Linked DNA regions of Elephas maximus indicus. The protein of the gene in region 2 interacts with the protein of the main gene of each other region in a biochemical or structural test. Links are inferred from orthologs where the notes say so. Each region holds a gene or a part of one and is shown on either strand. Other genes may lie near its edges.

What was found.
Region 1: of the proteins of NFKB1 (region 2) and IKBKB, one has a biochemical effect on the other in vitro, tested with the Homo sapiens proteins (4 studies listed by BioGRID and IntAct). The link is inferred for Elephas maximus indicus from reciprocal best matches to the Homo sapiens genes NFKB1 and IKBKB.
Region 3: the proteins of NFKB1 (region 2) and ELF1 form a complex in vitro, tested with the Homo sapiens proteins (2 studies listed by BioGRID). The link is inferred for Elephas maximus indicus from reciprocal best matches to the Homo sapiens genes NFKB1 and ELF1.
Region 4: the proteins of NFKB1 (region 2) and DPF2 form a complex in vitro, tested with the Homo sapiens proteins (2 studies listed by BioGRID). The link is inferred for Elephas maximus indicus from reciprocal best matches to the Homo sapiens genes NFKB1 and DPF2.

Annotation. Positions count from the first base shown.
Region 1 is NC_064840.1:58,150,640-58,157,598, reverse strand, and holds the start of IKBKB (inhibitor of nuclear factor kappa-B kinase subunit beta), read left to right. Parts: upstream 1-3,954; 5' UTR 3,955-4,112; intron 4,113-4,768; 5' UTR 4,769-4,786; coding exon 4,787-4,891; intron 4,892-6,959.
Region 2 is NC_064823.1:50,252,784-50,259,694, forward strand, and holds the start of NFKB1 (nuclear factor NF-kappa-B p105 subunit), read right to left. Parts: upstream 3,017-6,911; 5' UTR 2,932-3,016; intron 1-2,931.
Region 3 is NC_064832.1:40,374,946-40,382,105, reverse strand, and holds the start of ELF1 (ETS-related transcription factor Elf-1), read right to left. Parts: upstream 3,006-7,160; 5' UTR 2,867-3,005; coding exon 2,795-2,866; intron 1-2,794. Other genes in the region: kelch repeat and BTB domain-containing protein 6-like, read right to left, coding at 3,006-3,088.
Region 4 is NC_064825.1:128,496,089-128,503,220, forward strand, and holds the start of DPF2 (zinc finger protein ubi-d4), read left to right. Parts: upstream 1-4,127; 5' UTR 4,128-4,204; coding exon 4,205-4,236; intron 4,237-7,132. Other genes in the region: CDC42EP2 (cdc42 effector protein 2), read left to right, coding at 1-323. UniProt on the Homo sapiens protein: Plays an active role in transcriptional regulation by binding modified histones H3 and H4. Is a negative regulator of myeloid differentiation of hematopoietic progenitor cells. Might also have a role in the development and maturation of lymphoid cells.

The sequences.
Region 1 (6,959 bases), on a different chromosome or scaffold from region 2:
GAAACCCTTAGCAATTTCAATATTTTTTCTGTTTATCAAGATGTTGCTCATTGGTCCAGTTGTGATGTGTGGTGGCCCTGCCCTTTAAAAAACCAAAAAACCAAAACCTGTTGGCATCAAGTGGATTCCAACTCATAGGGACCCTACCCTATAGTCACTGCTCAATAGCACACAGCCTCAAAGCAGGAATAAAAAGGAATGTTTTTCTGCTGCAGCTGAAAATATCTTTTGAAACAGTCCGCTCATATCCTCCAGAGCAGGATTGCTAGCAGATGTAGGCAGTGACGTGGACATGTCTTATCTGGAGGGAAAAGAGCGTTTAACATGATAAATATCTTGGGACATGATAAAACCCAGAGGCCCCTTCCTGAGCCATCACCCTTTCTTTTTAAAAATCTAGTACTGCATCTGACCTCATCAGAGAGATTTATGTTCGGTTGAAAACTAAGTTATTTTGAGCTGAACAAAATGAGAACTCTTAAAGTTGTACAGTGAGGAAACCTTTGGCATATCAACGATGCCTCCCTAAGTTTCTCATGGACAGTGATTTTTCAGTAGTGACAGAATTAAAGAGAAACCTTTCATGGCATCATATGGGAAAAAACAGACTCTACATAGGGCCCAGCACATACAAACCAAAAAACCAAACCCATTGCTGTCCAGTCTATTCCAATTCATAGCAACCCTATAGGACAGGGTAGAACTGCCCCTTAGGGTTTCCAGGCAGCACCTGGTGGATTCGAACTGCTGGCCTTTTAGTTAGCAGCTTAGCTCTTAACTACTATGTCACCAGGGTTTCCGGTAGTGCCGTGCATATTCTTAGTGCCTCACATATTCTAAATACAATATAGGTACTTGTATAATAAATAAATGAAATATTTTGAGCGCATACATTTCATTTATTTATTATACAAGTACCTATATTGTTTTTGGAATATGCAAGGCACTAAGGGCTTTACCTGGGTGGCACAAATGGCTTGAGCTTGGCTATTAACTAAAAGGTTGGTGGTTCTAATCCACCCAGCAGCACCATGGAAGAAGGTCCTGGGAATCTACATGCATAAGATTATAGCCACCGAAAACGCTACGGAGCACAGTTCTACTATGAAACACACGGGGTTGCCATAAGTCAGAATTGACTTTATTACAACAGGTTTTTTTTTTCTTTTTTTTAAGAGCTTTATAGAAGGTGCTTTACACCACCACCCATCTCTCAGGTTGTCATATTGTGGTGGCCTACTTGTTGCTGTGATGGTGGAAGCAACGCCCCTGGTATTTCAAATACCAGCAGGGTCACCCATGGTGGACCAGTTTTAGCAGAGCTTCTACACTAAGACAGACTAGGAAGAAAGGCCTGGTGAACTACTTCAAAATTTAGCCAATGAAAACACTATGATCACAATGGAATATTGTTAACATAGTACTGGAAGATGACCCCCTACGTAGCGTTAACCTTACTGTAGTGGGCCCAAGATGGAGTTACTTACGCTAGCCCCACATTAGCAAACCAAAACCTAGCCAGTTTCTACTCCTGTAAATGCTTGACCTTCTCAGTGTTACCGGAATAAGGTTCTTGCCTCTTACTGGTCAAGAACGAGCAGGTAAGGCACGTAGAGTTTTCCGCATGAGCAAAGCTTTATTGAAGAGGTTTGCAAGCGGTGATATGGAGGGCCTAGAGCAACGCTACCCTCTTAAAGACGGGCCTGAGTTTTTAAAAGTTCTTGGGCGGGAAAAGATTCATGTTTATTCACAGACACAGGCGGGGACATGTTAACGAAGGTGCGCACACAGCAGCTTTCCAAGACGGCTCCTGTCTCAGAGCCCTCTGGGATTTGTGGGGTGTCGTGCCTGCTCAGTCTCTCGCTCCCTGGGTTCAATTCCCCGGCTGGGGCTGTAGCCCCTCTCTGCCCCTGGTGGAAGGTCACACAGCAGTCACAGGTGGATGTTCTGCGCATGTCCCTGGGCCTGGTTTTCCCAGCTGCTTCTGAAAGGCAATTTTAAAGAAGTTTGCAAGCTATTTTTTGATACCCTCTCCCATTGTTCTGGGGAATGGCTTTGTTTCTGTGCCCTGGCCCATTTCTTGTTACTTTGTTTCCACATTTGGGGGCCCCTCCATTCTCTGCCTTACTAAGTCTCTAGGTTCCACATTCAACCCATTACCTCCCTGATAGTATAGTCTATTTCTCTTTTACTTGCTTCTCCTTTAACCACCCCAGTCCCTTCGCTATTTCTCAAACGGGCACCCTCCGATCTCAGGGCCTTTGCTCCCTGTCTTACCAGGAGCCAAAATCTGAAACTAAAACCTAAGCTAGCCAATTAGGACTTGCCTGCTGAGTTTAATCTAGTTCAAAATTGCCCCTTTATCCCAAATAAAGAAAGAAAATGCCTGCCAGCCAATTCAAAATTTGCCTAGTGTGTCTTCCTTGTTCCTGTGTGTCTGTGACAAAATAACCCTTTTGCTTTGTCCTGCTCTTCAGAGCGCTTGTCAGACTTGCAGACCCAATTTTCATGAACTGAAAAATAAAGCTTGTGAGTTTGTACGCAAATTTAATATTGTGGAAGCTTTCATTTGTAACAGTTGGAAGGCACTCAAAATGCACAATAACTGCAACAATGAACTCAAATATACCAGTGATCGTGAAGATGGTGACATTTGGTTGTGTTATACATAAGGTCACCGTGAGTTGGAGCTGACTGGAGGGCAACTAACAACAATAACAAGCGCTCTACAACTATTTGCTCAAGTAGTTGTTGGTTGTTTGGGTGGACACCTGTTCCTAAGAGTTAAGATCAACCTGCTGGCTCTGTTTAGGTGACAGGCATGTCCTCTGTGCCAGGCACTGCTTTCACCATGAGTTCATCTGTTCTTCTCCACAACCCTGCTGGCATCTCCTCCTGTGACTCTGTGTCCTCCTGCTGCTATTAAGCCGAACTAAATGAGGTTGCTGATCTTTGATCGTTGTTAATGTTTCAACAAAACGACAGTTCTAAATGTGCATTTTTTTTTAAAGGCAATCTCATGCAATTCAACCTAATATTGCCTCCATTTTAAAGAGAAAACTGAGGCTTAGAGCAATTAAGTAACTTGCACTAAAGTTTTAGAGGTAGTCGGTAGCAGTATCTGGATTCAAAATCTAGTTTGCCTCCTTCTGAGCCTCTTAGCACGCTACTTTTAACCAAATATTAAGAGCATGGGCCCAGGAAGGAGCCCTGGTGGCTCAGTGGTTAAGAGCTACAGTGAGCTATGGCTGCTCACCAAAAAGGTCTGCAGTCCGAATCCACCAGCCACTCCTTGGAAACTCTATGGAGCACTTCTACTCTGTCCTATACGATCGGAATCCACTCGTAGGCAACTGGTTTGGGCCCAGGAACCAGCTGCTTGGGTTTGAATCTCAAATCATTTATTTACTAGCCCTATGACTTTGGGATAAAAACTTTTCCTCTCTGTGCATCAGTTTCCTGCTCTGTAAAATGGTGACAATAGTAACACAGCTATTATCTAATTTATAGGGTTGCGGTGAGGATTAAAAGAGGAAATCTAAGAGTTTAGGACTGTGCCTGGCACTTAGTAAGCACTCTATAAACTATTATCAGGGTCCTTTAATCTCTTTTCTCTCTTGAGTAAAATACACCAACATACAAAAAACTTCTTTGTCTACTAAGATTAGGACTGAGAAACTCACTAGTAGAGGACCTCATGATAATGCCAAGCAGGTAGGAGATGAGCCTCAGAGTTGAGACTCCCCACATCACTGAGACTGGAACTTTAGTTTAGCACTACACTACTGGATTGGATTTTTCTTTCTGGGGGGACGGGGCAGTCACCCGGGCAGGGGTCGCGGGGGGGACCCAAGCTCCGCGCGGCCGCCGGTGGGCACTGGGAGTGACCCGGGCTTGCTCTGCGGCGGCCCCTTTAAGAGCCGGTCGCAGGCCCACGTGCCGCGGTGACGTCAGAGCAGGAAGTGTTTGAGGAAGTCGCTCTCTGCTGGCTGGGTTAGGATTCCCGCATTTTAATGTCTTCGGGGTGGTGTCAGAGCCCCCGGTTGTGCTGCCCCAGCCCCCATCTCCCCGGCCCGGGGAGCCTTTCCCCTGCCAGGCGTCCCTGCCGACAGGTGAGTCCCGCGGGCCGGAGGGAGCGGAAGCCTTGCGGTGCCCACCTGCGGACCCCGCGTCTTCCTTGCCCCGGTCGGGCTCTCCATCTCCTCACTAGAGGCTGCCGTAGAAACTTTCGTCGAGTTTAAAAATCAGGTGTTTGCCGACATGGAAGTGTTTCCCTTTAGCGGGTTGGAGTTGGGAGGCCCGGGAGAACAGCCTTGGCCAGAGGGGTTCCAGGTGGTTGCTTAGAGGTGGGTGGCATTGAGAGAGAACCGTGATTCTCTGGGACCTTGTAGAGGCGCACGTGACCGTGGTGGCGCGCAGAGCTAGATCCCCTCCCTGCTGCTTTCGGGAGAATGCGGGCACGGAAGGGGATCCCCTCTAGAGGTCATGGGGTGTGGGGCATCACCTCAGTTGAGTGACTTTCCTCTCTACTTCCTTCCACAACAACTGGAGGGCGGGTGAGAAAGACAGAAGTTTACTACCTAAAACTACAAACAAACAAAAAAAACCTGGTTTATTTACAAGATAAAAACCAGTTCAGTTTTTTTTTTTTTTTTTTCCTGTCGTATTGAAGGGCAAAACTTATGCCCTGCCTTCTCCATCTCCCTGAGCAGGAACTTGCCCCGTTTTTTCTTAACTTTTTTTGTCCTTCACCCCGAATTACTTACAGAGTTAGCGCAACATCAATATGAGCTGGTCACCTTCCCTGGCAACTCAGACATGTGGGCCCTGGGAAATGAAGGAACGACTTGGGACAGGGGCATTTGGAAACGTCATCCGATGGCACAATCAGGTAGGGCTCTGTGCAGCCTGGAAGAGGCAGGGGTGGGCAGAGGGCTGGAAGAGCGGGTGTCGGGTTCACCTTTACTGTCTCAGGGCACTTGCAGATTTCTGCCCCACGTTGTTCGGGGTAGGTGAGTGGGTTACACTTTTTGCCCTGAGCTTCTTGGGAGAGAGTGAGAAGGGGGATAGGAAGGAGGCATCAGGACTGCTAAGCTGACTCTAGGTTCAAACCTGTTGCCATTGAGTCAGTTCTGACTCATAGCGACCCCGTGGGACAGAACAGAACTGTCCCATGGGTTTTCCAAGGAGCAGCTGGTGGATTCCAACTGCCAACCTTTTGGCTAGCGGCCAAGCTCTTAACCAGTGCACCATCAGGGCACCAACTCTAGGTTAGTAGTTTCCAAATTTTATTGGCCTTAATAAATAATAAAAAAGTTTAAGCTCTCAGCCTCAATTATATGTATTTTAAGTTATTTATACCAGAAAACGAAACCTATTGTTGTTGAGTCAATTCCAACATATGGTGACCTTATAGGACAGAGTAGAACTACCCCATAGGGTTTCCAAGGAGCAGCTGGTGGATTCGAACTGCTGACGTTTTGGTTAGCAGCCGTAGCTCTTGACCACTGCACCACCAGGGCTCCATTTCTGGACTTAAGGGATGGGAAATTGCTCATCTCTTCCCAGGAACCTGGCTGCAGCGAGCAGAGTGGGGCGTTGAGGCTGCTGGCCAGCCATGTCAGGCGTTTACTTCAGACGGCCACCCTTCTTTATCACTTAGTTGATAGACATTCCAGGCCCTGCCTGAATCCCATCAGCTCTGAATGGGCAGAGCAACCCCTGGAGGGATGTCAGAGCTGGAGCTGGAGGGCAGAGTACAGTTTTGCAGGTGGTAATATTCTCTCTCCCAATGTGGGAACTAGGGTTCCAACAAACCCTATGGCTGAGGATGCCTGAGAAATACAACTGGCTCAAATTTGTCCTGGTCAGAGTATAGCCAGGGGCCTAGCAGTAAAAAACAGAAGAACCTGATCACTCTACCAAAGCAGAAAAAAAAGACCCATGGCCGTAGAGTCAATGCCAACTCATAGTGACTCTACAGGACAGAGTAGAACTGCCCAGTAGGGTTTCCAAGGAGCTGCAGGTAGCTTTGAACTGCAGATCTTTGGTTAGCAGGTAAGCTCTTAACCACTGCTCCACCAGGGCTTTGATCATTCTGCAGCCCCACAGAATTCTCGAATTCTGTCATCTCTAGCTCAGAATGACTTCTGTATGCTCTCTAGACTTGGAAAGTCAGGATATTGCAAGGTAGAATTTGTTTCCAGCTTTATCAATATGGGCCTAAGAACGTGTTCCCGTATGTATGGATTAAACCAAAAAAAACCAAACCCGTTGGCCATCGAGTTGATTCCGACTCATAGCAACCCTAAAAGACAGAGTAGCACTGCCCCATAGGGCTTCCAAGGAGCAGCTGATGGGTTCGAACTGCCGACCTTTTGGTTACTAGCTGAGCTCTCAACCACTGTGCCACCAGACCCCTGTGTATGGATTAAAAACCAAAAAAAAAAAACAAAAACAAAACACATTGCCGCTGAGTCCCTTCTGACTCATAGCAACCCTAAAGGACAGAGTAGAACCGCCCCATAGAGTTTCCAAGGAGCACCTGGTGGATTTGAACTGCTGACCTTTTGGTTAGCAGTTGTAGCGCTTAACCACTTTGGCACAGTTTTCTAGAATTACTCCCATCCCCTGCTCAAAAACCTTAATTTGTTTTTTATTTTTACAAAGCCGAACTCTTCATCCTGTCGTTTGAGGCTCCTCCACAGTCAGGTCCCACCCTGTCTTTCTAGCCTCTCCTCCCTCTTGGCTCCTGACAGGTTGGTTGGCTGAGTCCTTTCTCTGGGACAAGCATCCTTCTCAACGCCTTGACATAAATTCTGCCCGTCCGTCCCTCCGGCACCAGCTCTAGGCCACCTCCTCCGTAAACCCATCACAGGCTGCTTCATTCCATGGGAATTCGTTTTTCTGTTGAATTCCTTCAGCTTCACTCAGTTGGCATACCTCATATGCTGCCATTT
Region 2 (6,911 bases):
GCTCACCTTTAACTATGAACACTGTGAGTTCAGTATTTATGGGAAGTGCAAGAACGCAAATGAGAAATAATTCCCAGCAACAAGGGTAAATAGCTCCAGTGTGGTTTACTGGTCACCAAGAAGCAGTTGTCATTGAACTGAGAGAAAAGTCTGATCAGACGTAAACGTAGGAACAGGAACAAAACGTCTTACAGTCTCCTCCAGTCCTAAAATTCTATTCTTCCTTCTCCTCTTCCAACAATCAAAACATATAGGATTCATATTATAAACAGAAAACCAATCAACCAACCAAAAAAAAGACACCTTCCTATAAAAGGTAGGACAAATTAACCAGAAACTCTGTAAGACACTGATTTGTATACATTCATTCCTGTTAATGTGGTTCCTTTCCAGCTAGATCTGCAGACCAGGAGAGCATAACTTGAATCTTTACAGGCTAAACTACTCAGCAGTCCTAAGTACATTTCCCACTGGGCCCTCGCCAGTGCTCAGGCAGCACATTTACTCCTCATGAACTCTGAAGAAGAAAAAGATGGTATTTTTTTTATAGTGCTTTATCAAAAATCCATATGAGAACTTAGACATAATTTTTAACTTACTGTTTTAAAATGCCAACTACTGTTCTTATTTCTCCCAAGTTCAAACTAATTGAAGGTTATGAGTAACCACTTCCCCCCAGAAGCCAGAACTTTCACCTCTTCTGAACAGGGGAATACCTCTCATAAATTAGGTAAAACATTTAAGGCCTTGCTGACTGAATGATACTCCAAGATCCAAGTAGCCGCCAATTCCTTATCTGGACCTCCTTTCTACCACAATGAACAATCCCTGAAAGTCTAAGTAGTAACACACTTCATCATTATCTGGACGTTTGAAACCAGTAATAATAATTTAAAAAGCCGTACATAGATATTAACTTCTCAAACTACCTTCAATTTGTTCAAAGGAACAATGACAAGAGACATATGAGCTAGATGATTACTGAATTTAAAATCCTGCCTCATTTCAGACTAATTGAGCTTCCTGCAACTGCAATTCAGTCATCACAGATGATCTTGTTTAAGAGGTAAAAAGGAAGTGCAAAGATCAAAGTAGTGCTTACAAAGGGGAATGACTATTTTGTATGTATACTCCAGTATTTACTAACTGAGTTTGAACAACAGGGGCATTTATTCAGGCCAAGTGAGTGCAAACTGCAGAAAATACCAATAAATTGAAGTTTCAAAGCAAAGATAACAGCATTTCAAATTACCACCAAGTCCTAATAGGATTGTACTGTTTTCTTTAAAAAGTCTTTCAAACTTGTTAGAAGTGGTTTGCTACTCACAACAAGCAGTATTTAATTTCAGCATTAAATCTACATGTAATGAGTCTTCCTTTGTGTTCCAGTCTGTCCAGTAGGCTTTGGCCCAGGAAGACATTTTATCTGAACAAGCTCTGGAGGGCATTAGGAGTTGCAGGTATATCAACAAGGATGAATCATCTCAGGAGAGTCCCCATTTCCCTTATCATATATGTTCATTTCATTTTAGCAACTCAGTTACATGATAAATGTAAAATGCTACAGGAAACAAATTTCTTATTTCCTATCTCCCCAATCTCAGAAGCTCAAAAAAAATTTTTTTTTTTTTGCTTTAAGTTATTTACACGATTTCTATAGTGCATTAGATGGTAAAAGGATTCATCTCTAGAAAGCACAATATTAAAATCAGGAAAACAATATTCTTCAGCTAAGGTCTTTGTTTTAATCAAGTTTTCCTGTTAAAGTTTTAACCAACAATCACGTAAACTACTCAAGAATATTCAGTTGAAGAATTTTGCTAGAAAAATAATCACCGAACATCTAGATCCCAAGCTTTCGTGTTTATCAAAGATGACCAGTTGGTGGAAGAACATTTTTATGCCAAAGCCATTAAATGTTTTAGTAATCCATAATCGTTTTTCCGTTCATAAGCTTTATAACAAAATCTTTACGTTAAATATGGTTATTTCATAAGATACAATACTGAAAAACCCTACTTAACAAAGTCCATAAATAGGTCTGAAACCTTGCTAATCAAATCCTGTTGCATTAAGTCCTATTTAAGTTTCAGGATAGACCAATGAATCAGAGCAAACATCCTCATCTGGGTGTATTTTAAAGACCCCAGGAAAACTTGCATTTGGGATAAGCTTTATTTATAACATTTGTTTTAGAGATTATGCACGTGCCACTGTCCAAGTGTTCTACAAAATCAAGAGGCCTCAAAAGTGATCTAAGTAGGTAGTCTGTTTTCCCTCTCAAATGTCAGGCCCTTCTTATTTTTGAAAACTAACGTACAGGTTCTACAGTAGGTGAATATACTATATCCCGGTTGGGGTGTGTGCAGGGTATGTGAAATGGGGTTTCTTTCAGAAACAGAAGGAAGAGAAAGCCTCTCCTATACAATTCTGAGGAGTTAGGGAGGGTTTTCCAAGCCAAGACGACTGACATGCACTTCTGCTTTCATTTTATGGAAAGGCCCTTAGGTGAAATCTGGTTCAGCACTGCACCAACCACCTTCCCCAGTCTTCTCCGCGCCACAGTGCATCTCAACCCTCTCTCCACCACCCAAACGGGGGTGGGGGTGAGGATTAAATAAAAAGTTTGCAAAGAGTTCCCCTAAGGTTCCCGTTCCCAGCTGGAGTTCATGGAGGGGAAGGGAAAGGACGGCCCCAGCGGCTGCGGCCCTTCGGCCGATCGGCGCCTGCGATGTCCGGATGTCTTTTCCCCTCTCTCGCCAATCCCATGTGCTTCGCAACTACTGTCAACCTCTTCCTACGGTGTAGCCCAGCGGTTAGCGCAGGAATGAGGAAGTGCGAGCACGGCTGTAGAGGGTGCGGGGTGGGTTGGTGGCGGGACTCGGGCCACACGTTCCTAGCGTGGCCCCCACTGGCCCGAGTTTGGCTTACCGTGGTCGCGAGTCTGCGCTGGCCTCACTGCGCCTGTGGGCTCCCCGTCCGGGGCAGCGCGGGCCTGGGGGCTCGGGGACGAAGAGGCCGGAGTCGAAGCTGTCCGGGTGCGGGGCGGGTAGGAGCGGGAGGGCGCGCGGTCTCGCCGGGCCGGGCCAGTCAGCGCCGCGCCATGCCGCAGCGCGGGCGGAGGGAAGCGCAGGGCGCGCGGTGGCCGGGCCGCAGCGGCGCCGTCTTCCCAGCCGCGGCGGCTCCGGCCTGGGTGGCGAGGGGCTCTCGGAGCGGGGCGGGCGGCAGGGCGCAGGCCGTGGGCGGCGGCGGCGGCGGGAGCCCGACCGACTGGAAGGGCAGGGGAAGCTGTCAGCGCGTCGCCGGGCCGCTTCGGTGGCGAAACCTCCTCTTCCTGCCCCAGCTCGCTGGTGCACTTCTCTCTTGCTCTCTCTCTCGCTCACTCTCTCACTTCCTGGCTGGAAATTCCCACTGACGTCGAGAGAGAAGACAGACAGACGGACACACGCGCGCACGCGGCGGAGGCGGGAGGTGGGGTCGCCGCCGGGGGTGGGGGAAGCCCGCACTTCTGGGGGCCCCGCGCGCCCCCGGCCCGGCCTCGCTACCCTAATTCGGCTCCCGCCCTCCTGGGCCGCGTCGGGGCGCAGGACGAGGGGCGTGAGGGAGGCGGCCGGGACGCTGGGGCCCCATGCGGGGCTGCCACTTGCCGGTTGGGCGCTCCCGAGTGGGGACGCCCCCTAGAAGCGCCGGCGGGGCTGGATTGTCCCTGGAAGCAGGCGGTGCGGAGGCCGCGGAGGCGGAGGCTGTGCAGTTCTTAGAGTCGGACCATCATAGAGCCCCTCAGCGCAGGCCCGACCCGCTGGAGGGGATGGGTCGGCAAGGATCCAAGCATACCGTTTATAAAAATAAATCTCATCTGTGTGTTCCATTTAAGTATGTCTCAATTACACTCACGTCTCTTCAGATTTAAACTGGAATTTCAATATTATAATTGATTTGTTTCCAGTGAAGTATAAACATCTACTTTTAATTTTTTTTTTTTTTTTAGTGAGATCTTAAACCCCCTGGTTATATGGCAGTTATCCAGAACTTTCATCTACAGGGCATTGCTAGGCTTTTATAATAATTACTGTGGATAGACTATAGTGATGGTGGTAGCAATGGTTCCGGTCACAGCCCATAAATACATACTGATCTGGCAGGGAAATTTTCTGTTTTGTTTGTTTTTCTGAAGGGACCGCTACTAGAAACCACAGATGAGCCTGTCAGTGACCAGCATTCACTGGTCATTTGAGCTTCTTTACATGCCAGGCATTGTGCTAGGCACGGGCCTGGGGATGCCCTGGTGTGGATTAGCTCCCCAGATAAGACATCTTGAGCTGAAACAGATGTGTGTTTTAGAGCACCTTTAAAAAAAAAAATTTTTTTTTTCCCACTACTGAGTTCAGTGACAATTCTGCAAATTTACTTTTAAAATGTCAGGAATCAGGTAACAACCAGGCAGTGTTGCAAGATACTAGATTGCCCCTAGCAAGTTTCCGCTCTGCCTTGCAGGCCTGTTTCCCCCTGAAGCGTTTGGCAGAAGAGCAGAGGATCATTTGATTGGGATTAAACTGGTCTGAGGTGAGCCCCTGTGATCTTTGGATTGCTCAACAATTTACCTTTAAGCTACTTCTTTTAGCTTCTAGAGTGAATAGTTGGAATTCAGGGGATTCATAAGTCCCTGGGTGGTGCAAATGGTTAACTGAGCTCAAGCCGAAAGGTTGCAGGTTAGAATTCACCCAGAGATCCATCAGCCGTCCAAAAGCCTACAGGGCACAGTTCTACTCTGACACACATGGGGTCACCATGAGTTTGAATCGACTCCATGGCAACTTTTTTTTTTTAAAGGCTTAATGAATTTTTATAAATCCTGTGTTACTATTTACAGGATATTATTATAAATTTTGCCAATACTATATTTTAGTCAATTGATACATAGTTTGTGAAGTGATTTTTGCCACTGACATGCGTGCAAAGGTTGCAGACTCCCAGGAGACAATAAAGTGTTAGGAGAGTTGTATCTCTTCATGGGACAGGGGTGAGCTCGCACGCTTTTCTTTCAGCAGGGCTGGCAGCCTCATTGGAGAAATGATGGAGGGACAGGATTGTTACAAGTGTGAAGCCACTGTGACATTCTTGTGAACGAATATTAAAGGTGTTAATTGGTGAAAATGATTAAATTAGATTTTCAATTCTCAATGATCCCACAGAATGAACTTAAAATTGGGGGTGGAGGTATGAAGCAGACAAAACTGTAAAAGTTTCTAGTCTACTCTTTTCTAATCACCAGTTAACCTTTCTGTATTGCTACTTTGTTTCTCAAAATTCTGTCTAAACTGTCTTCATACTTGCTTCCATGAATGCTGCCTACAAATGCATTCACCCTAAAGTGTCAAGGGATATTTACATTTATCATTTATTTACAAAGGAAAAAAAAAAGCCTAAGTGCGGGATTTTAGGCATTGAGATTGTGGAAAAGGCCCGTCATGTTGTTTGTCACTAAAATATTTGGGACCACAAGAATTTCCCTTCTCACAAAACCCTGTTTGGAAATGTTGGTGTCTGGAGAATGCTGAGGTTGAGATCTGTATAGTGTATACATTGATAAAGAGGAATTGTATAGTGTGCAACGGAGACTCACAAATACAGAATCATAAACTCCATGGTCCATCTTGAGGATAGAACAGGAGCGAATTGTATTTCGATAAAGGGTGCATATGGTTTACTTTGGGTCATGGAGCCAACTCAACATGCTTAGGAACACCTGGGGCACAGTTCTTGGCTATAGGAGCAATGACAAAATGGAAAGATTCCACTAGCTTCAAAATCAGACTTGAGTTGGAGTCCTCGCTTTGCCTTGAATTACCTGTGTGACTTTGGCTGAGTAGTAGTTTGTCTATTACTTGTCTACAGGGTTGCTATGAGTCAGAATTGACTCGACGGCAACGGGTTTGGCTTTTGGTTTGGTATCTGAGTAATTACTTTGTCTGAGTTTCAGTTTCCTCACTGGTAAAATAAGCATGACATTATAGCCGTACCTCACAGAGTTCTAGAAAGGATTGAAGGGAGATGAAGGCCTGTACTACTATAAGCAGTTATTTGAAGGTGAAGGACTTGAAATTAATTTCCTCGTAATTTTAAGAGAAATAAACTTTTGCACCATTGACCACTAGGCCATACACTTATCTTTGTGGCATCTCTCCCTACTGATAGGGAAATATTTCATTTCATTACACCTCCATTAAAATGCTTGCTGTATTCTGTCTTGTGTTTGCACAGTTAATTGAGATCTTATAGAGAGAGTGCTCAATTAGTCTCTATAAGTGGTTACAAAAGAAGAAGATATAATCTCTGCTCCTCAAATAAAGCCAGAAAGAATGACTTCTTATGTAGCAACCGGGACAAAAGTGATTTTTACAATGGATTGTATCATCAAGAATAAACCTAATAGAAAAGGGCAAAGAAACCATCTTTCTTTTAAGATCACATGTAGAATACAGACTTTTATTCTCTTGACAATGAAAATGCAAAGAAATGGAGATATCAATAAATTTAACAGGAGAATATCATTGATGTTATAGACACTAGCATCTTTCTGTCAGTTTAAATGAATATTCACTACCGTTGCTACGGAGCCCTAGTGTCGAGGTGGTTAAGAGCTTGGCTGCTAACCAAAAGGTTGGCAGTTTGAATTCACCAGCCGTTCCTTGGAAACCCTATGGGAAGTCCTACTCTGTCCTGTAGGATTGACTGTCAGTCAGAATTGACTTGATGGCAATGGGTTTGGTTTTTGGTTTGGACAATTGCTATGGAATCGGTCTATGTTCAACAATATCAGGAGGTAGCTTGTGATCAAGAACCAATAGTATTGAAGGAAGAAGTCCAAGCTGCACTTCAGACACTGGTGAAAAAACAAGGAACCAGGAATT
Region 3 (7,160 bases), on a different chromosome or scaffold from region 2:
AATCTGCCAGGCGCTCCTTGGAAACTCTATGGGGCAGTTCTATTCTGTCCTATAGGGTCACTATGAGTCAGAATCGACTCAACGGCACTGGGTTCAGTTTGGTTTGTATATGTATATTGTTCATTTGTTTATACTTTTGTCTAAAAAATTATACATCAAATTGTAAATTCTGGTTTCCTCTGGGGAAGAAAATATGATTAGGGATTCAGAGAGATTTTCAGTATTTTTAAAATATATTTTTGTATTAGGTGACTTCTTTTATAATTGGCCTATGTATTATTTACGTAATTAAGAACAAATTAAACCACCATGAGAATGGTGTTCTATTAAAAACCATCTGTATGAGACCAAAAGGTCAACATTTACTCTAAAGCAAAGATGAGAAGATAAGGGGGCAGAGAAACTGGAATACTGGAAATGGAAGAAGAATACAATTAAAATGTTGGCACATTATAAAAAATGTAACTAATGTCACTGAACAATTTGTGCAGAAATTGTCAAATGGGAACCTAACTTGTTCTATAAACTGTCACCAAAAACACAATACAGTATTATTATTTAAAACAAACATAACAAAATTCAGCCAACCAAAAAAAAAAAAAAGCAGAAGGTAAAGCCACAGGTTAGACAAGATGCTAACAAGATTGACATCCCTGGGTCTATCCCGCTATGAATCAGTGGTTTACTATACTCATGGTCATAGATGAAAAAAGTCTAAACCAGGCTAACTGCCCCCAAACATTCAATACAGTGAAGTTCTCCTGGATCACTGCTAGAGTATTCAACATCGTTAGCAGGAGTCCAACTGCTTGGGTTCAAATTTCAGCTCCATTACTGACTAGCAATATGACTTCAGGCAAGTCACTTAACCACTATCTCAATTTCCTCATTGTAAAATAGGGAAAACAGTACTTACTTGATATGGTTAATATTTGTAAAGTCCTTACAACAATGCCTACACAAAACTAATAAAAATTTTTTTTGCCAGATAAAAGTACCCAAACCAAACCCACTGCCGTCGAGTCGATTCCAACTCATAGCTACCCTATATAGGACAGAGTAGAACTGCCCTGTAGAGTTTCCAAGGAGCGCCTGGCGGATTCAAACTGCCAACCTCTTGGTTAACAGCTGTAGCACTTAACCACTATGCCACCAGGGTTTCCAGATAAAAGTAAGTAACTAAGAAAACACACACACCCATTTTGATGACCAACTCAGAGCACCATCTCTCTATGCAGACATAATTAACCACTCTGAGCAAGACAGATTAAGTGCATTCGACATAGTAAAGATAAGCATTGTTCTGTGAAGACTTTTTTTTCTTAAGGCAATGTAGACACATGTATATATACTGAGCCATAACATAAGATGTATTTCTTAGAGACCAAAGAGTGCAAAGCCACTACACTGGAGCGTACTGGTGAGTGACTTATAGCTCTGTTCTTTGCTGCCACATCCTGGTATCAAGCCTCATCACGTCAAGCCTGGGATCTACACAGGATCTTTCATCTAAGAGGGCTGCACAGTAAACACGCTGTTTTCAAACCTTAACATATAGATAAACATCCGGCTCTAGAAGAAATTCAAAACACTTCCTCCCCCTAAAATATCTTTTCTATCCTTTCTAGATTAAACCCAGATAATTATTAATGTAGTTTTAACTGGGACCAACCAGTCCTCTCCCTCAAATCTTTCTCCTCCCTGGCCAGAGGTCATCTTGGTTTTAAGGTATCTTCATTCAAATTCTTGGCTTTTGTAGGTTTATTTATATACTTTTTATTCTGTCAATTCAATGTTAGCATAATACAAACAGCCAAGAAATTATAATGCCCTAGCAAAAGTAGAAATCAATTTTTATTATTTGTAGTAACTAAGTTTTTAGAATAGAAGCATGATATATCATGGTTGGCCTATTCCAATTAGGTATTTGACATGAGGCTTATTTCAGTATATAGATCATTCTTACTAAAACTACTTTAAAGCTACTGGTCTACAAAATATTTTTCCCAGTAAACTGAGTCCTTCAACACTTGCATAATATATCTTACACACCTCATACACCCTGTTTTTTAAATGAACTCGGAAAATACAAATCCCAAGAAACTCTAGCCAAAAAAAAAAAAAAGACTACAATTCATCTTAGATCCTTTACTCAATATCGCTTAGATTTTTTTTTTTTTTCCCCAAATTACATTCTGGAAAGAATAATTGTACATCTTGTATAAACTGGAAATCATTCAGTCTAATTCTCTCATCCTATAGATGACAAAATCAAGACCTAGAGAAACTGTGTAACCTCCTCAGAGTCACGCGCCGTGGACTGAAATGATGGATGATTATGGGATCGCCCACAATTATAAATGTTAATTTCACATATTAAAACTGTATAACACTGTAAAGTTGTAAGCAACTATTACAATAACCAGTTCTATGCTACAAAATGCCATTTACATGTCCTGTTAGTGTGCCTCTAGAACTTACATGTTTCAAAGTATTTTGAAATAATTACTTACGGCATTTGCTGTTTCATTTTACAGAAAAATAAGCTGAACCCCATTAAGTATTACTTCCTTGTTACCATATCAAAGCTAAAGATAAGATTCATAATTTATGACTTAACTGGTATGTAAAACATAAGAGTACATCACCTCCAAATTTTTAATTTAGAAATTAAGAAATTTACTTTTATATAAAAGTTTCTTTTATTATCTTTTCAAGTAAATAATCTTCTGATACAAATGGAGAAATCATACAAATAAATGTATTAAAATCCAGCATTCTCTGGGTTACTTACCTGTTGTTCATCCTCCATGACGTTACTAGCAAATTCAAATACTAGATCGTTCTGTTGGACAACAGCAGCCATAATAAAGCATTCCCCTTAGATCCACATAAGAAAAATTCCAAACAGGTTCAAGTATCAGGCAGCAGAGTCCAGTGATGAATTTCAGTAAAAAAAAAGCCCACAGCTAAGTCTGTCAAGTTACTGTACACCCAGGTTTTCTTTAGGGAAGGTGCTTCAAATTTTCTTGCTTCACTGATATTGTATTCAAACTGAGGCAGTTTTTTCTCTCTGGAACTTCTTGGCCTGAAAAACAAAAAGCTTAAGTTAGCTATGAAAAAGTAATTCTAACCATTTAGAATATAACATCCAATACAGAATTGCTGTTTTTAAATAAAATCAACATGAGTTGATTAGTACACAGGCCTTTTTAAGTTAGTCTTTGAAGATTTCATCCCTGCTAAGATTAAAGTACCTTTCGTTAGTGAAAATGAAGTCTTTCCTACCCCCCTCCAGTTACACTACAGTTAAAGTAATGAGTATTTAAAAAAAAAAAAAAAAACTCTAGCATTATGAGACATCTGTAATTGAAATAAAGGCTACATAAACAATGTCCTTCCTCTCACTAACCAGGAAACCACCTACATAGGCATGGCTGCTCCATGAGTAATTTCATAAAGTGTATTTTGGTCTTTAATAGAAACATTCAGACAACATTCCTGTTAGGTTTAATACATGAAAGGATTTAAAATCTGTTTAAAGGCCCAATACATTTAAGGTTTAATAAGTATTATTTCAGCAGCTTTTTAAAATAAGCGGAAAATAAAAGCAGAGACCACTCCTTCTGTTCTCTAAAAGGGCTTCTGGTAAGTAGAAGTCTTCTTTTTTAATGCACTGAAATGTGTCCTTATCTCTAGCACCGGTTTGCAAGCAACAGGAAGGAAGCAGCACTTGACCACGTCATGGCAAATTAGAACATGCAAAGAACTGCACTTTACAATAGCAGAAAAACAGAAACGCAACTTAAGAGTGAAAACAATTTCAGAGTGGAGGGAGACATACTTTCAAAATGTCTGCCAGAGATGTTTGTTAAAAAAAAAAACAGAGTTACTACTAACAAAAATAAAAAATAAAAAAACTGAACTTAAAGAGTTTATCACAATTTTATTAAAAATTGCATCATGCTGCCATGGTCATTAATGTGACATGAAAAGACAGATATAAAAATAATCACAATAAATAACACTTTGTTCTTGGAAATAGCATTTATAATTTTAACATAAATATTTCAAAAGACAGCTAATTCCAGGGAAATGATGGGCCATTAATTTCCTAATAATTTTAAAAGAGACAAGTTTAGGAATGCAGCTGACCTAGTGATCAGCTGCCCTCAAAACTTAAATCCAGCTAGTACGTGCTAAGGGGCCCTGGTGGGACAGGGGTTAAAGCACTCAGCTGGTAACCAAAAGGCCAGCAGTTTGGACCCACCAGATGCTTTGCAGGAGAAAGATGTGGCCGTCTGCTTCCGTAAAGCTTACAACCTTGAAAACCCTATGGGGCAGTTCTACCCTGTCCTATATGAGTTAGAATAGACTCCATGACACTGAGTTTGGTTTTGGGTTTGGAGTATGTGCTACCCAAATCATGTACTCAATTTCCTAATTTCAGTAAAGCCAATTCCCTAAATATATTCTGAGCTCTACGGGTCATCACGGCTGGCTGATCTCCTTAACTGGGAATCAAAATAAAACCAGAGATAAAAAATCAATTTAGCTAGTATTTCTACTCACTAGATTCTAATCCCACACTCTCCCAAACCCATCCACCCCATTCCCTTAACCGTGAGTTCAATGAAAACAAATCACAACTCCAACATTGGGAAATTATTTTTAACTCACTCAGGTAGTTTTTGAGCAGTGCATCAGATCCAGTGGGGAAAAAAATTCTCAGACCTAATTGATCACAGACAAATATATAAACATAAGGCATACATCTGGCCATGGGTCAAACGTCCCCTAAATACTCAACCCAATTTCTCTATATTAGGCCTATCTTTGTATTGTCCTCCACAGAAAGTACATTCTTGCCTCCTTTCTCAACTTCTACTTTTCCCTGTACCTGGGATATCCCTTCCACTTCTCAGCAGCCACTGATTATCTTTTCCATTCATCAATGCTCAATTCAAATCCCATTTCTTCCATAAACCCTCCCAATCTCTATGCCTCAACCCATAGGGATCACTCCCTTCAGAAATATAGCACTTACTACTTCTACCACCAACTTAGCACTAATAGTACATGTCTCAATTTGAAAATTGTGTACCCTAATTCAAGTGAACAAATGCTTGAGTGCCTACAATTTGCAAGGCTATGTGCCAGGTACCAAAATAACTAGAGCAAAACCTTTTCTAGGGAAATTACCAATGTCTACAGATACTGTTTTAAATATTTATCTTTAGATATTTTGGCTATTTTTACATATAATCTTTATAAAATTAAATATGACTGCAGTACTTGGGATAAAGAGGAAACCACTATCTAAAATTTGAAAAACCACAGTAAGAAAGTATAACCAGAAACAAGGAATGTTTCCTGGTGGAGCTTCTCTGAAAAAGGTGAAGTTCCAAATGGCTGTTCCAAAATGCATCTGTTCATAAGTACAAAGTGACACTGTCCCAATAATTAATGTGAAGACATCTATGTAAAGTTCCGCTTTCTTCTCCATTGCAATCACATACCTTTTCTTACTAGCACTTTCAACACTGCTATTTGTGTTTAAATAGCTGTTTCAGAAATCTCAAAAATAAGGATGAACAATGGTATTAAACCAAAACAGAAATGACTGTCCACACCTTTGCTCTGGCATGTAGCTTTTGTGCATTTCTATATAGAAGAATGTGTACGTAAAGTTTTGTATTATTTTATTGGCTTAACTGGGCCTCTGATCTGTCTTCTTCCTTGCGCCCTTCCTCGTCCCCGCACAGTTATACACTCTATGGTGCCAAGGTCGTTCTTGGGAACACATTTTCTGGTTCCTGATCCAGAGGTATCATCTATACTTATTAGAAATATTTAAATAACAGAGCCCAAGTATATTAGAACTTTCTCAGTAATAGAAAAGACTGAAAATCTAGATCAGTAACTCAGTTTTTTCATATGTGCAAATTCAGTCCCTGTGCCCAAAGTCTCACGATCTGAAAGCATAACAGAACTAAAGATAAAATTCTCATCTCCTAAATCAAGACTCTGCCCATGACTACAACATATAGCTTTGCCTCTAAATCTACCCAAATTCTTTATACTGTAATAGTTTAGAAGATGGATTTTTAAGTAAATGTATGTATCAAACTCTAGTTCTGCTCCTGAGCTCCAAATCCAATCCATGTCAGTGCCCCTTCCAAGTCAAAAGTGTCTAAAACACACTAAAAACTGAGCTCATCATCTTATCCCTCAAATCTGCCCTGGGATGAAAAAATATGGGTGGTCAGAAAAAGGGGAAAAAAAAGAAAGGTCTCTGTGGAAACCCTGATGGCGTAGTGGTTAAGTGCTACGGCTGCTAGCCAAAGGGTCGGCAGTCCGAATCCGCCAGGAGCTCCTTGGAAACTCTATGCGGTAGTTCTACTCTGTCCTATAGGGTCGCTATGAGTCGGAATCGACTCCACGGCACTGGATTTGGTTGTGGTTACCATGTTGCAATGCCTTGAGTAAATTTAAAACTTGTTTAATTTTATAAACCATTAGTTATAAATATTCTATTCAAGAACACTCCACTGTACTAGTAGCTTTGGACACATGTCATTTTCAAAGTGTCACTTAGTGTTTAAAAAATGCCAAGGAAAAGGCAAGTGAAAACTGTTCATTCACCACACAGACATAAGCAGTCAACTTATTTGCACAGTTTTGAGAAGTCATTCAGTTAGGCATCACCAGATAATAAAAACTCCCCAGGCTGGCTCATGTCTTTCAACTGGGTCAGGACCAAATTCTTATTCTTCGAGGAAACATATATACAGAAATACTTCAAAAAAAGGTTCCTTAGCCTCTTACGACCAAAAGTTTAGATTTAAGGTAAAACAGTAAAGCAAAAAGGTTAAGAACGCAGGCCAGACCACTTGGGTTTCAAATCTTCTGCAATATGATCTTGGACAAGTTACACCTGTCTGAGTTTACCCTTTCCTATAAAACAGGTATAAAGTTCAGTTTCCTTTTCTATAAAATGCATATAATAGTGTTCAAAATCTAGAGCTGTTTTGAAGATTAAATGGAGAATGAATGTGCAGAATGCTTGCCACATAAGTTGTACTCAACAAACATTAGCTTCATTATAGCTGTAAGTACAGTGCAAGAGATATGCAACAGGTGCATTCCAGGTAACTAAT
Region 4 (7,132 bases), on a different chromosome or scaffold from region 2:
TCCCAGTCATCGGGGGACCCCAGGCCCTCACCCTGCCCCCCACCCAGGCCCCACCCAAACCCCCTCGGCTGCACCTGGAGACCCCTCAACCCTCCTCCCAGCCCTCCCCGCAGGAGGCAGGGGACGTGGACATCTGGAGGACTCCAGAGGCTGGCCCTGCCCGCAACGGGCTGACCCCCCAGTCCGGGGCAGAGGAGCCCTTCCTGTCCCATGCCAGCTCCCTGCTCTCCCTGCACGTGGACCTGGGGCCCTCCATCCTGGATGATGTGCTCCAGATCATGGACCAGGACCAGGACCTGGACCGCGTACAGATCCCCACGTAGCACCTGCAGCCAGGCCGGGCAGATTCAGGGCAGTGTGTGGACACAGCCCTGGCCTAGGAGGCAGACCCCAGGTCCCACCTGTTTGGTGGTGGCCGTGGTTTCTCACTTTGAGCCTTTGTTTCTCTCCCTCCATCCTCATCCATGGGCAGAGTGCCCACATGGCTTCCCCCTAACAGCCCACCAAGGACATGGGCAAGAGGCGCCGGCCCAAACAGCCCTGAACCCCCCGACAATGGCTCTTCCTCTCCTCAGACTCCTTGGGTAAAGGCTGTGCTGAAGAGAACTCCCCTTCTCACCTCCTTTCTGCTCAGTCCAGTGGGGTGTCCTGACTGGTGGGGGGAGGTGGGGGTGAGGAAGGCAGGGCTCAGCCAGGTGGAGGTTTGGGACCTTTGGCTTCACATCTTAGTCCGGGGGCATCACAGCAGTGACTGAAGGTGTCCTGCTTAGTCCCCTTCCACATGACTGGGGGATTCTGGTTGTAATAAAACTTGGTGCTGCTGGTGGCTGTCTTCCCATGCCTTGTCCCGTTTGTCTTAGGTTTCCTCCTGAAGCTGGGCCACTGTCTGCACTGCGAACTCACCCTGCAGGGGACCCCAGTCCGAGAGGCCTTTGTGGGGATTAGGCCCTGGCTGTAGTGAGGATGGAGCAGGAACAGACCAAGTGACCAACTGTGGCCGTTCCCACATTGGTTGGGTGCTGGCTGGTGTGGGCTGGGCTTGGGGCTGGTCGTGCCCAGGCAGCCAGGGTCTGTTGGAGGAGACCCAAGGGTAAGACGAAGCACAAAGGCTGTACAGGGGACTCTCAGGGAGATTCTCTGGCATCAGGGGGCTGGGGAGCATGCAGGAGTGGGGGACAGACCTGGCCGTGTTGCCCATCAGCTGGAGCCACAGCTGTTTACTGAGCATCCACCATGTGCCAGGTGTGGCTCCAGGTGCTGGGGTACAAGACAGACTAGATCCCTGCTCTCTTGGAGCTGACATTCCAGCGTGGGAGGAGGTTGATAACGTTTGTAAACAGGTAAGATGATTTCCAACAATGGTGGATGCTATGAAGAAAACAGTGTGATGAAGAAAACAGCTGGGACCAGTGCCGTGGTGTCAGGGCACATAAAGGTGATCAGATGTGATTCTGTGATCTCCGGGCCGCTCTTCACTGGCCTGGGTGGTGCCTTTTTGAAACCTAGTCTGACTGTTCTTTCCTGCTTCAAATCCTTTGGGAGCTCCCCCATTGCCTCAGCTTCAGCCTTGCAAGCAAAACTGCTCTAAGGTGATTTGAACCACTTTTCCAACATCAGAGTCCTGCCTTTCTGGAGCCCCAAGTCACACACCACAACCATTTTGGAACAGTGATCTCTAATTTTCTCAATAACCCTGTGAGGTGGGTATCTTTAGCTCCATTTTACAGAAGTTAAAACTCAGTCTCACATAGTCAGACTCCAAGGTCAGTGCTATTTCTGTCACATAGCAGTTCCTCACCATCATTTACTCTGGTACCTCAGTGCCCTGGTAAAGTTTGTGAAGGCAAAGGGTTAGGGAGCTGAAGGCCCAGCACCTTCTTGCCTGCAAGCTCCTCCTCAGTGCTTGGGCGTTTGTTCTCTTCTGCCTTGGAAGGGAAAGACAAGAAAAAGAGACACTTCCTTATTGCTGCACCCACCCTGAAGGCACCACCTCACCCTGGAGCTGAGCTGAGGCCAGAGTAGCCACAGAAGGAGGACATTTCTGTGCTGGGTCCCCCTGGACCTCTCTCGATCCACCTTACATCAGGCACCAGCCAAAGGACCCCGGGAACCACTTAGGGCTGTGACATGGGGTGGATAAAGAACTAGGGAGGGGACCTGAAGCACCTGACTGAACTTGGACTACCAGCTTACTCCAAGGTAGCCAGGGGTAGGGAGAAAAGGGACTGTACCTCTTCAGCTTTTATAATGGGGTTCAGGTACCGTGTCCCCAAAATAGGAAGAAAAGTTGTTGGACAGCCAGAAAAATTACCAGTGTTTCTAAGGGTCTACTGTTATGGATATTCAACTTCCATGCATGTCTTATATTAGTGTTTACTCTTAAAATACATACAAATGTTGTTAGGTACTATTGAGTCGATTTCCCACTCAGAGTGACCCCATGTGACCAAGTTGAACTGTCCCACAGGGTTTCCTAGGCTGTAATCTTTATGGAAGCAGATTGCCAGGTCTTTCTTCCATGGACCAGATGAGTGGGTTCAAACCACTGACCACTGAACCATTGTGCCAACAGGGTTCCTTATACATGCACCCTAAGGAGCCCTGGTGGCGCAACGGTTAAGTAATTCTAAAGTTCCTTACCACCAACATACCCTATGTACAAGAGTGAATGGAGGATGAAAATACATAAAAAATATATTTGACACAGCGAGAAAAAAACACACGTAGAAGCTACAGACTTTTTCTACAAGGAAGCTGTAGCTGGTATGAATAACTCCCCTCCTTCATGGCCCAGAACATGTTCCGTTGGCTTTCAGCCAGTATCTTGGCTGGTCAGGGTTCTTTACAAGGAGATGTGTCCCAGACCTCATTTTGGACCACCCAGGTAGCCTGATCAGGGCTGCAAGTCCGAGGAAGTTGGAGTCCCAACTTAGTGTGTGTGTGTCTAGGAGGGGGCCGGGGATCTGATTTCCTACCTTGGACAGACTCTGCGTTTTGATTTTTGTCCCTGTCCCCAAAGACTGCCAACCAGTAGCTAAATTTCACAGTCATAGCTTCCAGATTAGCAAATGCCCGCAGGGCAAACTGTGCCTAGGGTTTCCAAAGCTGTAATCTTTACAGAAGCAGACTGCCACATCTTTCTCTTGAGGAGTGGCTGGTGGGTTTGAACTACCAACCTTTGGGTTAGCAGCCCAGCACTTAACCACTGCACCACCAGGGCTCCTTCTTGACAGTCTTGGCTACTAATTTAAAAAGATCCTTATTGTGCTCCCCAGCCCCGGGTGGACGCATTCCTTCCTTGGGTCCTGTTAGTTGCCCTGGAGTTGATTCCCACTATGGCAACCCATGTGTGCAGAGAACTGCTCCATAGGGTTTTCAAGGCTGTGACCTTTTGGAAGCAGATCGTCAGGCCTGACTTTCTAGGTGCCTCCGGGTGGGTTTGAATCGCCAACCTTTCAGCTAGTAGTGGCACTCAACCATTCATGCCACCCAGGGGCTCCTTGGATCCTGAAGGCTCTAAACCAGACAGAGCCCAGCCCAGAGATGCAGAAACAGAAAACATTTTGCAAAAGGGTCCATTAGTTGAGAATGCCAGAGGCTGCACCTCCCACTTCCACTCCTTGGTTCCCATATCCACGTATTCAGTGCAGTTCGGTGGGTAGGTTTGGTGGCAGGAAGATGAGGTAACTTTTGTCGCCCTCCCTTCCCCTTCCTTTCCTTTCCCTAAAATGGGCACAAGTGGGCTGTGCACCACTCTCACCTTCCATACCACCAATCCCCATCTATGAGTAAAGGCACAAGGGTTAACCACGTGGTTAAAGACGCATGCGCTCCCACCAGACCATCCCTGGAACACTGGCTGTTCTCGCCAACATTTTTGCCTTCTCATTTCTGTGTGGGGCAGATCCTTCCTCCCTCCTCCCGCTCCTCCAAATGGAAGAGGCGGGACTAGAACAGGTGCAGCGGGGCGCGCGCCCGTCCCCGGTCGCGCCTGCGCGTCGGGCTGCCTTTGGCTCCCTCACACCTTTCCTGCCCGACGCCCGCTAACGGGCACGGAGGTTACTTTCCAGCGCTCGCTCTCGAGCGCGCGCGCCCGGGCGGCGCCTGCGCAGAGGGACGAGGAAACGCACTCCCTGGCGCGGCCCCGGCGCCTGCGCGCTGCGGGCTCCGGGGCCTCCCGGCCTGAGGGAGAGGAGCAGGGAAGATGGCGGCCGTGGTGGAAAATGTAGTGAAGCTGTGAGTGGTCCTTTCTTTCTCTGCGAGCCCGGGAGGTCTTGTGAGAGGCCTGGGAGTGGGGGCGGTGCGGGAAGGGAACGAGGCGAAGGCAGAGCCAGGCCCGGGAAGGCCGTGGTGCGACTCCTAGCGGGGAGGGCAACAGGAGGCTCCGGAGGAGACGTTGCGCTTCTTTGGAAACTTGTGGAGGCCCGGAGGGGGCAGGCGGGAGCCCCCAACGGCCCTCCCTGCGAGGTTGGTGGCCTGAGCGCTCCCTCAGGACCTGCGACACCCCGAGTATGGCGCCCTTGCCGCCTGCGGAAGACACGCCATCCCGGGTCCCCTCCCGAGACGCCTCAGTCGGAGGAGCGGGGCCGACCGTTTCCCCGCAGCCGGCCCGGAGCAACAGGCTCGGAGCCTGTGCGGGGAAGGGCTGCGGGGCCCAGTGTCCCAGCCGCCCGGGACGGCGGGGGGCGCGCTGTCAGGGACCCCAGACTCCAGCTCTCCTTGGGAGGAATCTGTGGAGAAGCAGCTCCGGAAGAGAAAGCGCTTAAGAGGAGCGGGCCTTTGTGCCGGCCTGTCCCGGCCGTCAAAACATCGGGGACTGAACGGAAGCAGTCCCGACAACTTCATGTATCCTGGAGGGACGTCTAGGTCTGCATTCCTGGTCCTAGACGATACCGCTGTGCTGGGCGGATTTCAGGCAGAGTTCAGAGTTAGAGGTGTCGGAAAAACGGAGAATGGCCTGTTAGTTGCTTCCTGTGAATTTAAAGATGCTTTGGGACTTGGTTTGACCGCAGCTCCTCCCAGAAGAAGGATTCGAGTGAGTTTTGAGATGGCTTAATACCCCGTGGGCCAGTGTCGTTGTTAGGTACCAGTCCAGTCGATTCCCACTCATAGCGACCCCATGTGACAGAGTAAAACTGCCACATAAGGTTTTCTAGGCTGTAACCTGTAATCTTTAGGGGAGCAGATCGCCAGGTTGGGTAGGTTCGAAGCATCAACCTTTCAACCTTTCACTTAGTAGCCCAGCGCTTAACCATTGCGCCACCAGGGCTCTCTTGTGGGCCAGTAGGGCAAGTTTTTTTTAACGGGCTTGGTGCAGGCAGAGGAAGATTAAGAGGTAGCTGTCCAGCCAGGGCTTTAGGTTTTGGCTGGTGAAAAGGCGAAGGTTGGGGGACTATTCTAAGGGCTTCACAGCTTCTCATCTGTCATTGAGTCCTGCTCTTCCCCAGAGCCTTCTATAAGGGTACATTGCGTCTTCCCCCTGCCTGGAGCCTTTTCTGTGAGAATGCTTTCCCGCTTGCATTAAGCTAAGTGCCTTCTCTTGTGGGTTTTTTTTTTTTTTTTTAACTAGCTTTCTGCTCTATCCTGCTGCCTCTTTCAGCCGCCCCTCCTCCCAGCACCATTATCTTCCTCTCTGATCTGCCCACTCCAGTTTCCCCTCTGCCGTCTTCTCAGGCTGACATTTTCCTCAATTTGGGAATGACAATGTTGATCTACCATTTCTATAGTTATCTTTCCTGACTCAAATGTTCTTTGTTTCCCCTGCTCTTCCCATGGTTAACTCCCCCCATCCTATTGTGAGGGGAGGTTTTCTACTGGTTTAACGCATCCCTGAGAAAGAATCAAGGCTGCCACCTAGAGAACCTTACTGTACTGAGGAAATGTCAGGCTTGCCTAGGTTTTAAGAGTTATAAGTAATGAGGGTCTTCATGCTAGAAGACTTTCTTCAGGGAAATAGCAGGTAGTTGGTAAGGGGTGCCTTGCCCATTTTAAATACAACGTGACTTTTTATTTCTCTTTAAAGAACTGAGGAGATTGTGAGGGTCACCAGCCCCTGGTTGCTGAGTACCAATAATGAGGAACCACCTATGTCCTCCTTAGTTCTAGCTGCAGAGGACTCTGGACCACACTTGATACATTCCAGGCAGAACTCTCTCTTTCAGAAGGGGCATCCATTCTGCCTGTACCATTCTCACCCTGGAAAGAGCTGCTTTTCTGGTGCTTCTCTTGATTGTGGTATGCCTGTCTTCTGACAGCTGAGGTTATACCTTGAGGTCAGGACTTCTTATTTCCTGGCTTACATCTTGTCCTGGGAGAAGAGTTCTTCAATTAGTAAATTCTCTGTCCCTCCCAAATATGGGGTCAGAAGTGAAACCATCTCTAAGGGGTCTTACCAGAGTAAGATAAAAACTGATTGCCATCAAGTCAATTCTGACTCATAGCGACCCTGTAGAACAGAGTAGAACTGCCTCATGGGGTTCTAAGGCTGCAGTCTTCATGGAAGCAGACCGCCATATCTTTCTTCTGCAGAGCAGCTTGTGCGTTTGATCTGCCGACCTTTCAGTTATCAGCCAAGTGCTTTAACCACTGCACTGCCAGGGCTCCTTCCAGGGTGAAACCAAACCCATTGTCGTCGAGTCAGTTCTGACTCATGATGACCCTGTAGGACAGAGTAGAACTGCCCCATAGGGCTTTCAGGGGGCATCTGGTGGTAAGATAGTAGCATAAAATAGCTGTGGCTGCTGACTGGTTTTAACAAGATCTGGAGAATAATATTTGATTGGAATTTCTTGCTACAGCAGCCTCGAGTTCTTAAGCTCTATCTCCTCCCTTGCTCAGTCCTCATCAGACTTCCCCCTTCACATGCTTCGTTTCCAGCCCTCTTACCCACCACAGCAGTTTGCCCACCTTCTGAAATGCCACTTAACTCCCAAAAGCTTTTACAGAACTTCTCTCATCCATTCCCCCAGTCCACTTCCAGCCTCCTTGCTCTTGACTTTGCAGCCCTCAGCCAGTCTGGTTCTTCCTTCCATTTGGCTTCCCAGTGTCAGTATCAATTCCCATCAGCAGAAACAAAGGAGCTGCTGCGCTCAGCCTTGTTTATCCAGTTTTCCTCTGTGTAGTGAGGACATGG